2 linked regions of the Caenorhabditis elegans genome follow. The protein of the gene in region 2 interacts with the protein of the main gene of each other region in a biochemical or structural test. Each region holds a gene or a part of one and is shown on either strand. Other genes may lie near its edges.

Region 1 (4,946 bases), on a different chromosome or scaffold from region 2:
TAGCATATAGACGCAGAGAAAATAGCCGGATTTCTGTAGCTTTAAAATGGGAAAAGAGAGAGATAGTAATCAAACAAGCTCGCGCACAAAATGACAACTCTTGAGAAGTTTTCCCTTTCTCTCTTTCTATCCCCCAAACCCTATGATTATATCAGACAAAACGTGGGCTATCTTGCGCTACGAGATAGAGGCAAAAGTGCGTGGTAGGCAGAAGGCAGGTGGAGCCATTTGAAAAATGAAAAATATGTTACCGTGGGAACATATACCAACAATTACGGTTTCATCAAGGCGATATAAGTGTTTAAATCTTTCAGCGAAACTTCATTAAAACTTTCCGGACAATCATCTGCTACCCAGTTTTGAATTTTCTTATTAAAATACGGTGCCCAGTCTTACTGAAGTTCCCAAATTATGGAATTTTTTACAAGTCAAGGTTTAAAAATCGAAGAAAAATTGGCAACGACAGGGGTGGGGTCTATAGTACTATTTAAACGCGCAAATTTTTTGAATTCAACAAAATTTGCAATTGTATTTATTAAACATAATCGTATATTTTTTTGATTACTGTGAACAGTGAGAACTGCAAAAAAAATGTATTTGAAACCTTTGGACAACTTATCATATTTTTTACGGAAACTTGTACCTTCAAGTCGTGTTGTAACAAAAAATATTTTTGAGCCTCAAATCATATTTGATTTCAAACTAGTTTCTAATAGTAAGATAAAACTTGTTAGAGAAACTGAATTTATTTTCCGGTATTTTTTTTATTTTCATCATAATTTTAAATCTCCTACAGCAGTTAATGACTTATTGAAGCATTAATTAAAACGAGTACCAAAATTGATTGCCTTCAATTAAAAAAGTAGCAATCTGAAAGCTACAAAGCTCACATGTGAAGCTTTCTATGTTGTCAAAAATTCAGCAGCTGATTGGCGGTAGGCACAGTCATAAGGCAGGCAGGCAGATATTTTTCTGCCTACGTGGAATCAACTGAACATACATTTTACTGGTATAAAAATAACAGGCGATTTCCAATCATGATTCACAGTTCCCATTTTAAGCTTGTTGTTGTCCTGATAGAATTTAAATAATTTACTGTTTCTTCGATAAAATAATAGGAAATTTTTTAAAGCAAGTTAATTTATCATAGTAACGAAGTTATCATTTTGAAATGCTAAAAATTTAGTTTCTTTCAGTAGAAATATTGTCTTGATACTTTTTTTGGTCTGAAAATTTACTTTTCAGTGTCAGGCTTTTTCAGCAAAAACTAGAAGTTTTTCTAGGAACCTTGGAAATTCAAATTTTTTACTATTAGTTTTCAGTTTTAAACAAGCTTATGATTATTATACCCATAAGAAAATAATCATTTGCCTTTAAAAATGTTTCAGTTCTCATAAAATTATCTACTTCTATTCAAGAACCAAAGCAGCAACCATTTTTAATATAATTTTTTCTCACTTCAACTCCAATCCCTTCCATTTTTTTTTCCAACAATTCCCTTGACTGCAACAGACTGAGGATATTCTCAAGCACCCGCTTCTTCCCGTGATGCTCTAAATCTCTCAATAATCCATACTATTTCCATGTTACTGTAACTGAAGAGGAGGTGGTGGGAGGCGCCGGGATCCCCCTTTCGCAAATATCTTCCTCTCGTCTCTTCATTTTCCGTGCTATTTCGAAAACACACTTACCAGGCAATCGGGAAAAGCCGAGCCAATTCAGTTTCTCCGAGCAAATTTCTTGGCATTTTCGCCGTGTCCCCCACACTTTTTCGTTATCTTTTCTTTGTCTCAACCCAACTTTTACCGTTTCACAGCAATCAATGATTCATCTCGTAGATCTTGTTCTGATTGGGATCTTCTTTAAATTACGTATTAAATTATTTCAGGTGATAACCAATAACCATGAGTGACGTTGACGCTGATGAGGTGAGTCGTGGTTTTATTTCATTGCAAAGATAAAAATTGATTTGAATTTGTAAAACACATGAAACAGTAATTTTGTAAACTTTTTGGTAAACCAAAAAAAGTTTCCAGCCTTATCCCCCACATATGGATGCAGAAGTAAGTCTAGACAGTTGAAAATTTTAAGTACAGATTTGGTTTTTTTGTTGGAAATGGTTTTTATTGAGTTATTTTATATTTTTTCTTGAAATCTGAAAGAAAATTTGAGATAGTTTTTACTTGTAAAAATGAAAATATTTCCAGTGTTTTTGGGATAAACCCTTCAATAAACATGAAACTGTTTTAATTCATAAATTAACAACAATCTGAAACTGTAACAGTTTTTGAAATAGAAATGAATTAGTGGGAAACAATGCATTCGTTTACTATAATGTGACTGTAATTTGTGGGCTCGTTGAAACAATATATATATATATATATATATATTTATTCGACTAGTTTGAAAATTGTGAGCTTTGGTATAAAAAATTAGTAAAATTTAAAAAAAACGTGTTTGTGAACAAGCAAGATCTTACTAAGACCTTACTTACTAAGACGAAGCGATTGCTTTGGCGCGACTGTATATGTTCATATTATTTATATAAAAACATAGTGTTTATAGTTAGAAACATTTTTGGTTATAGTTTTTTTGAAACAGTAACTTTAAAATAAATAAAAAATTGTTCACCTTTTTGATGTATAGTGATTGTAAATGATTCATATACTTGTTGAAACTGTTTATAATGTCTTTTACTTAGTTGAAAAGCGAATTACATAAAAGCTGCCGTTACAAGACCCCATAAAGATTTTAAATACTCAGTAAGTATATTTTTAATATTAAGGATTTTTTGTTCTGCAAAATATTTTTGGTTCACCCTTGTCATGTTTCGTCTTCAGTTCAAATATTGAGTTACCGTAACCGCCATATTCCCATTTCCGTACCTCAAATTCACATTTCTAGGCGCGCAAAATGGCGGAGCGCGAGCGCAAGAAGGAAGAGGTGCGTAAGCGTCTCGAGGAGGCCTCAAGAATGAAGAAAGCCAAGAAAGGATTCTTGACACCTGAGAGAAAGAAGAAGCTTCGTAAGCTTTTGATGATGAAGGCCGCCGAAGATTTGAAGCAACAACAAATGTTGAAAGAGCAAGAGAGACAACGTATTCTTCAAGAAAGAATCATTCCACTTCCAGATTTGGATAACGAAGGTAAGTGTTCTGAAGATGAAAACAACTATTTTATGCTACTTTTGGATATCAGTAAAATGCAATTATGTATGAAAATATAGAACAAAACACTTAATTTAGTAATTAAAGAACATTTTGCTAGGATGTCAATACCTCTCCAAAATACGTTTGGTTAAATAGAAAATACGAAACAGTAAAATTTTTAAATAAAAACTTGAATTTTTTAAATCTAATAGACTACTTTAAAAAGTGTTAAAACTCTGTAAAAACTTCATAATTCCGGGCGGTTACCTACATGAGTTTTATCTTTATTAAATTTTCCAGATGACCTCGAGGCAGTCTACGATGAAATCCGCGAGAGACTCATCGATCTTGAGTCTGAAAACTATGACGTCAGCTACATCGTTCGTCAAAAGGATTTCGAGATCAACGAGTTGACCATTGCTGTCAACGATCTTCGCGGAAAATTGTTCGTTTTTTATATTTTTTGAGTTTTTGGGGGTATTCATTTTAACCACATAATTATTGGATGGCACTGAGAAAATACTTTTCGCCATTTTTGATATTACTATCTTGAAACGGGAAATTTTTTCAAATGGAAATAGGAAAATTAATTACGAAAATGACACCAAATCAAAAAATATTGATATTGTAGAAAATTTTGAGAACTGTTAGCTTCACCAATTTCGGGTCCTGACACGAACGCAAACTTTTCAGCTACAGTACACGGGAGTATACAGTTCATTTTTAGCTTCATAGAGCGAATGTTCATATGATACCCAGATGCGAAAATTTACAATTTTTAACGCAAAATACATATCAATCCCGGTCTCGACAGGACCGAATGTTGAAACGGCAAAAAATTAAAGTTTCATCCAAAAAATAAAAATTTAAAATTTCCAGCGTGAAGCCAACCCTGAAGAAGGTGTCCAAGACCGAGGGAAAATTCGACAAGCTTAAGAAGAAGGAAGCCACCAAAGTCGATTTCCGTGCTCAACTCAAGGTTGTCGACAAGAACGAATTCGCACTCGATGAGGAAGACACTGAGAAGAAGGAGAAAGCCGCGTGGGCTAAGTAATTTCCAATAAAATCATTGAAAATTTCGGATAACTGGCACCCCCTGGAAACGTCTCGTCAAATTCAACTCGATCAATCCCTTCCCATCCTAAAAAATTCTCCTTCTTTATAAAAATTTCACCTTCGCATATCCATCGCCCTATCCATTTGCTTTCTTGTTCCTGTATTTTTTGTCTAAAAATTGTGCTCTGAAACAACAAGAATAAATCAAAAAACAATATATTATACAAAAAAATCGGGATGAATAGTTCATAAAAATTGATTGATGTAGATCTAGAGATTGAACCGTGGTTTTTTTCTTGAAATTTTAACAGGGAAATGGCATGTGTGGGGATTTTACAATAATTATTAGAAAATACATTTTTAAATTAAAACTCCATATCGGGAACTTCAATAGCTTGATCTTCTCTCATTCGTTCTTGTTCCAGCCTGATCAACTCTTGCCATTGTCGCTTCATTTCCAGATACTTTTTCAACGAAAAAACTTGAATCGTCTCGAAAAATCTTCGAACCTGGCCTCCTGGAATGTACTTGGCAAGTTTTCGGCACATTTTCTTCCTCTTCCTCCGCCGATTCTTCTTCTTCTTGACAAGTTCTGGTTTCTCAATACCTTCCTCCTTTTTTGTTGGCGGTTTTTTCTTCTTCGGTTTTTCTTTTTTCGACTTTTTCTTCCTCTTGTTTCGTGATCGCTCAATATTGATGTGGTATGGAATTGGATTTTGTAGACTTTCGGAAGTCGAAGGGG
Region 2 (5,550 bases):
AAAAAGTATGATACATTTTCTAAATTTTAGAAATAGAATAGCAATACAATATTGTCATATTTCCTCTACATATCATTATGTGAAACTATTTTTCAAAAAATATATTACTTACATTAAAGAAGGAGTTTGAAAATTAAGATTGGAGGCTTTACTAATAAAGTAAATACAGAAAGCTTTGGCAGGCAACGAGTAGGTGATGGCCGGACATGTAGGTAGGTAGGTCTAGGCTAATAAGCGGGAAGACACCCCTAAAAATTCCAAACATTCCGAAGCGGTGAATTAATAAATTGATTTTCTCAAAAATTTAAACATTGAAAAAAATATAATTTTTCAGAAAAAAATAATCTCATAAAATGGGTTTTTTTGTAAGTGTCGAATTATATAATTTCGGTCTTATTTGATCTTTTCCTCAGGAAGCCACCCGAAATAGCCACAAACATCATCATCAGAACAAGAACTATTTCAATTTCAGTGATAACATTCTAGTGCCACGTTCTCGCCCGCCTTTCCGCTTTTATTAATTGAGGTCAGTAACTGAAATGATAACAGAATATTTCCGCTTCAACTTTATTTTTAACTTTAGACATTGGGAAAAGTTTGATGGGAACATAAAGTGAGAGGGTTTTTTTTTGGATTTTTCTGAAAGTTTCAGAGAAAAATTGAACAACAATTAAACGTATTTGCAAAAAAAAAAAGATAAAAACTACTTGGATAAATGATTTTTTTTTTTGGTTTTTTTATTGGTATTATCGACTTAATAGTCTTCCTCTTCCTCGGCGGCTTCAAGCTCTTGCTGAATCTCGTAGTCCATTTTCTTGATCACCTTCTCGTACAATGCCGGTGGTGGGGCAACTCCTGGGAAGCATGGGAATGCGATTTTCTGGAAATTAAAAAACATGGTAACAAATCGAATAATTTTGAATTAAACTAGGTAAGCTGAAAATACAAAAAATTAGGAATATAACATACCTAACCAATTTTAAATTTTCTAATTTTTCTATTTTTTTGGTATTCCAAAATCAGGGTTTTGTAAATTCTCAGATAAAAACCAGCCCCCAATTCAATTTTCAAACAAATGTTTTAACTTACGTTCTCATAAACCTGACGGCGCTCCTTGAAGTTTCTTCTGTCGATTTGTCTGTCGTATTTGGAAGAGATTTGGACCTTTGGCTGAAAATAATTTTGTTAGTTATTATAATTTGTCTATTAATGCCAAAAATCCTAATGAACATACTGGATGTCTTCCTCCGGTGTCGTCTCCGCTGACTTGTCCGTTCTTGGCGTTGTTGGCACGGGCCACTTGACGGGAACGCTCATTCAATTCTTTCAGCTGAAATTTGCAAACTTTCCGTATTTTCAGTGGTTAAATTGTTAAAGAATCTGCCTATGCTGCAGCCTATCTAGGGAACCATCAGAAGGTGCCCATCGGACTTACATATAAGACCTATGCCATTCGATAGCCCATGTCTTAAAACGGTTACTCGTGAATTTTTAGCTGCGAATCTCCAGAACCAAGCTCACGGCGAGCTCTCAAAGATCCTAAAATAGCACTGTAACGAAGCACTGTAACGATCTAAAGAAGAAATTTTCTTAATTATCTTTAGTAGCTCATATCTCGGCGGATAAATTTTTTACAGAAAAGTCATCAACTGATAAGTTGTTGATCTTTTTGTAAAGAACAAGTTTGTAGTTGAAAGTTTTTACCAACAATTTTTTGTATCAGATAAAAACATTATAATAGCAGCAATAAAATAGTAACAACAGTTGCCGCACTTCACGCGCTTCTATCTGAAACAGAATTTTTTTGGTGGAAAACTTTCAACTACAAATTTGTTCTTTACTAAAAGATCAACAACTTATCAGTTGATGACTTTTCTCTAAAAAAATTATCCACGGAGATATGAGCTACCAAAGTAAATTAGGAATATTGGCCATTCAATGCTTCATTATAGTGCTATTTTAGGATCTTTGAGAGCTCGCCGTGAACTTGGTTCTGGAGATTCGCAGCTAAAAATTCACGAGTAACCGTTTTAAGACATAGGCTATCGAATGGCATAGGTTTCATATGCAAGTCCGATGGGCACCTTCTGATGGTTCCCTAGTAAGCCAATCAGTAAGTTTTGGCCTAAGTCATAGCCTAAGCCTAAGCCTAATAAGCCTAGCTACCGCTCGCCACTTACGCCAAGCCTAAGCCCAAGCATATGCCTAATCCTAACCCTATTCCTAAGCCTAGACTATGCCAAGCCTAAACATAAGCCGAAGCCTAAGACTAAGACTACTTACATCGTACTCCTGTCTCTCGTGTCTCTTCTCCAAATCGTACTTCTGAGCCTCCAACTTGCAGATTCTTTGATGAAGCTCCTTGATCTTGGCCTTCATATCATTTGGAAGAATGGTGGAAGCCTCGGCGATCGACTTACGAATACCGGCCATGGCGACCGACTTAGCCTCTTCCTGTTGTTCTTTGGTCATTCCCATCTCTTGTTTGGCCTGCACGATGTTTCCGAAACGATCTCCAACTCCGGCGGACTCTTCCTTCTTCTGGATGACAAAGTTTCTTCCACCCTGTTGTCCTGGGAATCCTCCACCCATCATCTGAGCCTTCTTCAGCTTCTCCTCTTCCTTCCTCTTCTTCTCCTCTTCGGCACGAGCACGACGCTCCTGCTCCTCCTTCTGTCTACGTTCCTCGTCGAGACGCTTGCGCTCGGCAGCTTCACGCTCTTCTTGCTCTCTGGCGAGCTTACGCTGAGCTTGCTTCTCCTTCAGCTTCTCCAACTCTTCCTCTTCCTTTTCACGTTCGGAGCGACGAGCCTTCTCGTAGTCTTCCAACTTGGCCTGTTCGTCGTTCTCGTGACGTCTCTTGGCGGCGAGCATAGCCTTCTCACCTTCATTTAGAGCTTCTCCGCTGAAAAATGCATATTGTTAGGGTAATTTATTTTTTCAGAATGTGATGATTTAGTAGTGTCTCAGTGATTTTATAGGGTTAGATATTTGGCATTAATTAATTTTTTTCAATTTAGGATAGCAACCGACATTTTTCAGGGCAAATTGTTTTTTAATGAGGCTTTGAAAAAATAAAATGTTCCGGATATTGAGATCTCTCTCTCATTGAGATCTCGATTTCCGTTATATGTCGGCTGCTCTTATTCCTACACTAGCCATTGAAAGTGTGCAGCCGACAATTGAGAAACCCGAGGTTTGCCAGCTGCCTTCTACAAATTGCCGGATCCCGTATAATGTCGGCAGCTCATACTTCATAATGACAGTCAGTAAAACTTTGCAGCCGACATCTCGAAGGTCAACAAAAGTGCATGCCCGACTTCACATGATTTTAATGATATTTTGGTCCCGTAATATGTCGGCTGCTCCTACTTTATACAAAAATACAGATGTGTTCTCATCGGATACTTCGATTCGTCGGTTGCTCATTTAAAAGTAAACTATTTCCAAATATCTGACCCTCTAACCCACTCCAATATTGCATGGATAATGGAATTGTGAAAAGAAAGAAAAAAGTGCAAACAGTGATGCCGTAAGTGTATGTGCTTGAGTGCGAAGAAAATAGTGTGGCCGAGCGCGGAGACGCAGGCTTTTCAAAAGTTTTTCCACTCAACAGTACTAGTGATTTGATTAGAGAGATCACGGCGGTCTTGGATAAGAAAAGCCTAGTAGTTTTTACTATAAGATAGGAAAGAATTGAAAAAAAGAAGTACTCGAAAGAGACAGGAGCGTGCGAAGAAGCAGCCGGTGTTGCTGGACCACCGGTTGCCGTGGTGTCGACAGAAGCTCGCTTGAACCTTTCTTCCTCTTGCTGCTCGGTGTCCTCCTCCTCTTCGGCTTCAGCCTCCTCGACCTCCTCGACTTCCTCCTCTTCTACCTCCTCATCCTCGTACTCGGAGCTGGAATTTTAAAACTTGAAATATAACATTTTTTAAATTTCAACTCACTATTCCTCGTCAGACATGTTGATTGGTGAATTGGTTGTAAAAAAAACCCCTGAAAAAATGTAAAAAATCAAAAGTTAGGAAATGAAACATAAATTGGAAGCAAGGGGAAGAAGAGCAAGTGTTACATAGTGTCTTCAAAGTTTGCCCACCCCAATGAATTCCAACAAGTGGTAGTGGGGAGGCGGATCTCGAGTTTCGGTGGGCGTACAGTGTATGTTAGCTTTCTTTTCTCATCCCGCAAACTGCGCAAAAAGATCATGGAAACATGAGAGAGATTTGGGAGAGTATCCTGGCAAATCGCGGGTAAGCTCTCTTGAGAGCTACCTGTGTGTACAATCATGTCGCGATCGGTGATGTGCTCTGGTGGAGACAGGGGAACTGGTGGTAAGTGAGCAGGAAAAAAAGTCAGGAAGTGATGGTTAGTCAAGGATCTGAAATGGCTAACTCATGGATTTGGATCAGAAATTTTAAGGATTCCCCTCTAAATTCAATGCTTACAAGGGAAGTCGAAAAACTGAACCCCGGACTTTGACATGCCATAGTAATTTTTCGATAAAAGAGTGAAAATGATGATCTCTCCAAGAAATTTAGCTGCCCCGGTCCAGGTTCAGCAAAGTTATGACGTTTTGAAAGTGGCTAGACCACCTTTTTAAAAAAATTTCAAAAATTTCAAAAAAAAATTTTTTCTTCTGAAAAGTGGAAAAAATATCTGTAAATGATTCAAAACAGCGAAAAACATATGCCATGCAAGTCTTAGCTCATAACTCTCAAGAAAACCCATAAATTAACCTATTAGGTCAGTCAATAAGTTTTGTCGCTTTTTCTCATCTTTGATTTTTTCTTAGATATTTTTTTGTGGTTATATAGAAGACTGTTAGTAATGATAAGCCCAACAATATCAGCCATATCGGACTACTCCCAGATATTTTAAATCTCAGAACTGTGATGACGAAAAAAAAATTTTTTTTTCGATTTTTTTTTATTTTTCGGCGAAATGAAAAACTTTATATGCCCTGATGTATTAGACAGTCAGTTGAATAAAAATCTGCAGTTGACGCCCCATGCGTATCTTTTTGGTGGCGCTACACTCCTTAAAATGGCCAAAAATGCTTGCAAAAATGACTTTTTAAAGTTTGAAGGGCGCTAACTTCCGGAACGTGCAAGATACAAAAAAGTAATCAATTACAACATTAATAAGCACATCAATTACTACATTTTATCAGTTTACCACTATTTCCTATCTGTGCCCGCTGCTAAGTTACAGTCAGTTGAAACAAGCTAAGTCCAAGTTTCAATAAACACCCTTTTTCCAGATTTTCGCCTGTAACTCTAAAACTACTTGTTTGACAAAACTTTTGTCAAGAGCTGAAATAATTAAATTTTTATTTTTCACATTTTTGTAGTTGAAAATTTTGTTATACATAAGGTTTATGCAAGAATATTACTCATCAAAGAAAAAAATATGCGTAGTTTTTTAAAAATGGAAAAATACTCCAAAGTTCTATTTTTCTCTCCACTAAAGTAAAGCTGATAAATGAAAGTATATGCAAAGTTTTAGTTAAAAGTAACTTATTCATTTTCAAAAATGTTTAGGCCTTTTCCT

Evidence for each region. Proteins that work in one complex are often made in the same cells at the same time.
Region 1: the proteins of tnt-4 (region 2) and tni-4 interact in far-western blotting, tested with the Caenorhabditis elegans proteins (one study listed by BioGRID).

What each region holds. Positions count from the first base shown.
Region 1 is NC_003282.8:5,202,703-5,207,648, forward strand, and holds tni-4 (Troponin I 4), read left to right. Parts: upstream 1-1,888; 5' UTR 1,889-1,904; coding exon 1,905-1,928; exon of another isoform or gene 1,929-1,949; intron 1,950-2,212; exon of another isoform or gene 2,213-2,233; intron 2,234-2,300; exon of another isoform or gene 2,301-2,321; intron 2,322-2,871; exon of another isoform or gene 2,872-2,892; intron 2,893-2,904; coding exon 2,905-3,145; intron 3,146-3,252; exon of another isoform or gene 3,253-3,274; intron 3,275-3,448; coding exon 3,449-3,593; intron 3,594-3,638; exon of another isoform or gene 3,639-3,659; intron 3,660-4,027; coding exon 4,028-4,202; 3' UTR 4,203-4,422; downstream 4,423-4,946. Other genes in the region: Y59E9AL.36 (RRM domain-containing protein), read right to left, coding at 4,570-4,946. UniProt on the Caenorhabditis elegans protein: Troponin I is the inhibitory subunit of troponin, the thin filament regulatory complex which confers calcium-sensitivity to muscle actomyosin ATPase activity.
Region 2 is NC_003283.11:1,988,923-1,994,472, forward strand, and holds tnt-4 (Troponin T, skeletal muscle), read right to left. Parts: upstream 3,992-5,550; 5' UTR 3,965-3,991; coding exon 3,948-3,964; intron 3,900-3,947; coding exon 3,714-3,899; intron 2,906-3,713; coding exon 2,284-2,905; intron 1,331-2,283; coding exon 1,235-1,330; intron 1,171-1,234; coding exon 1,090-1,170; intron 881-1,089; coding exon 755-880; 3' UTR 553-754; downstream 1-552.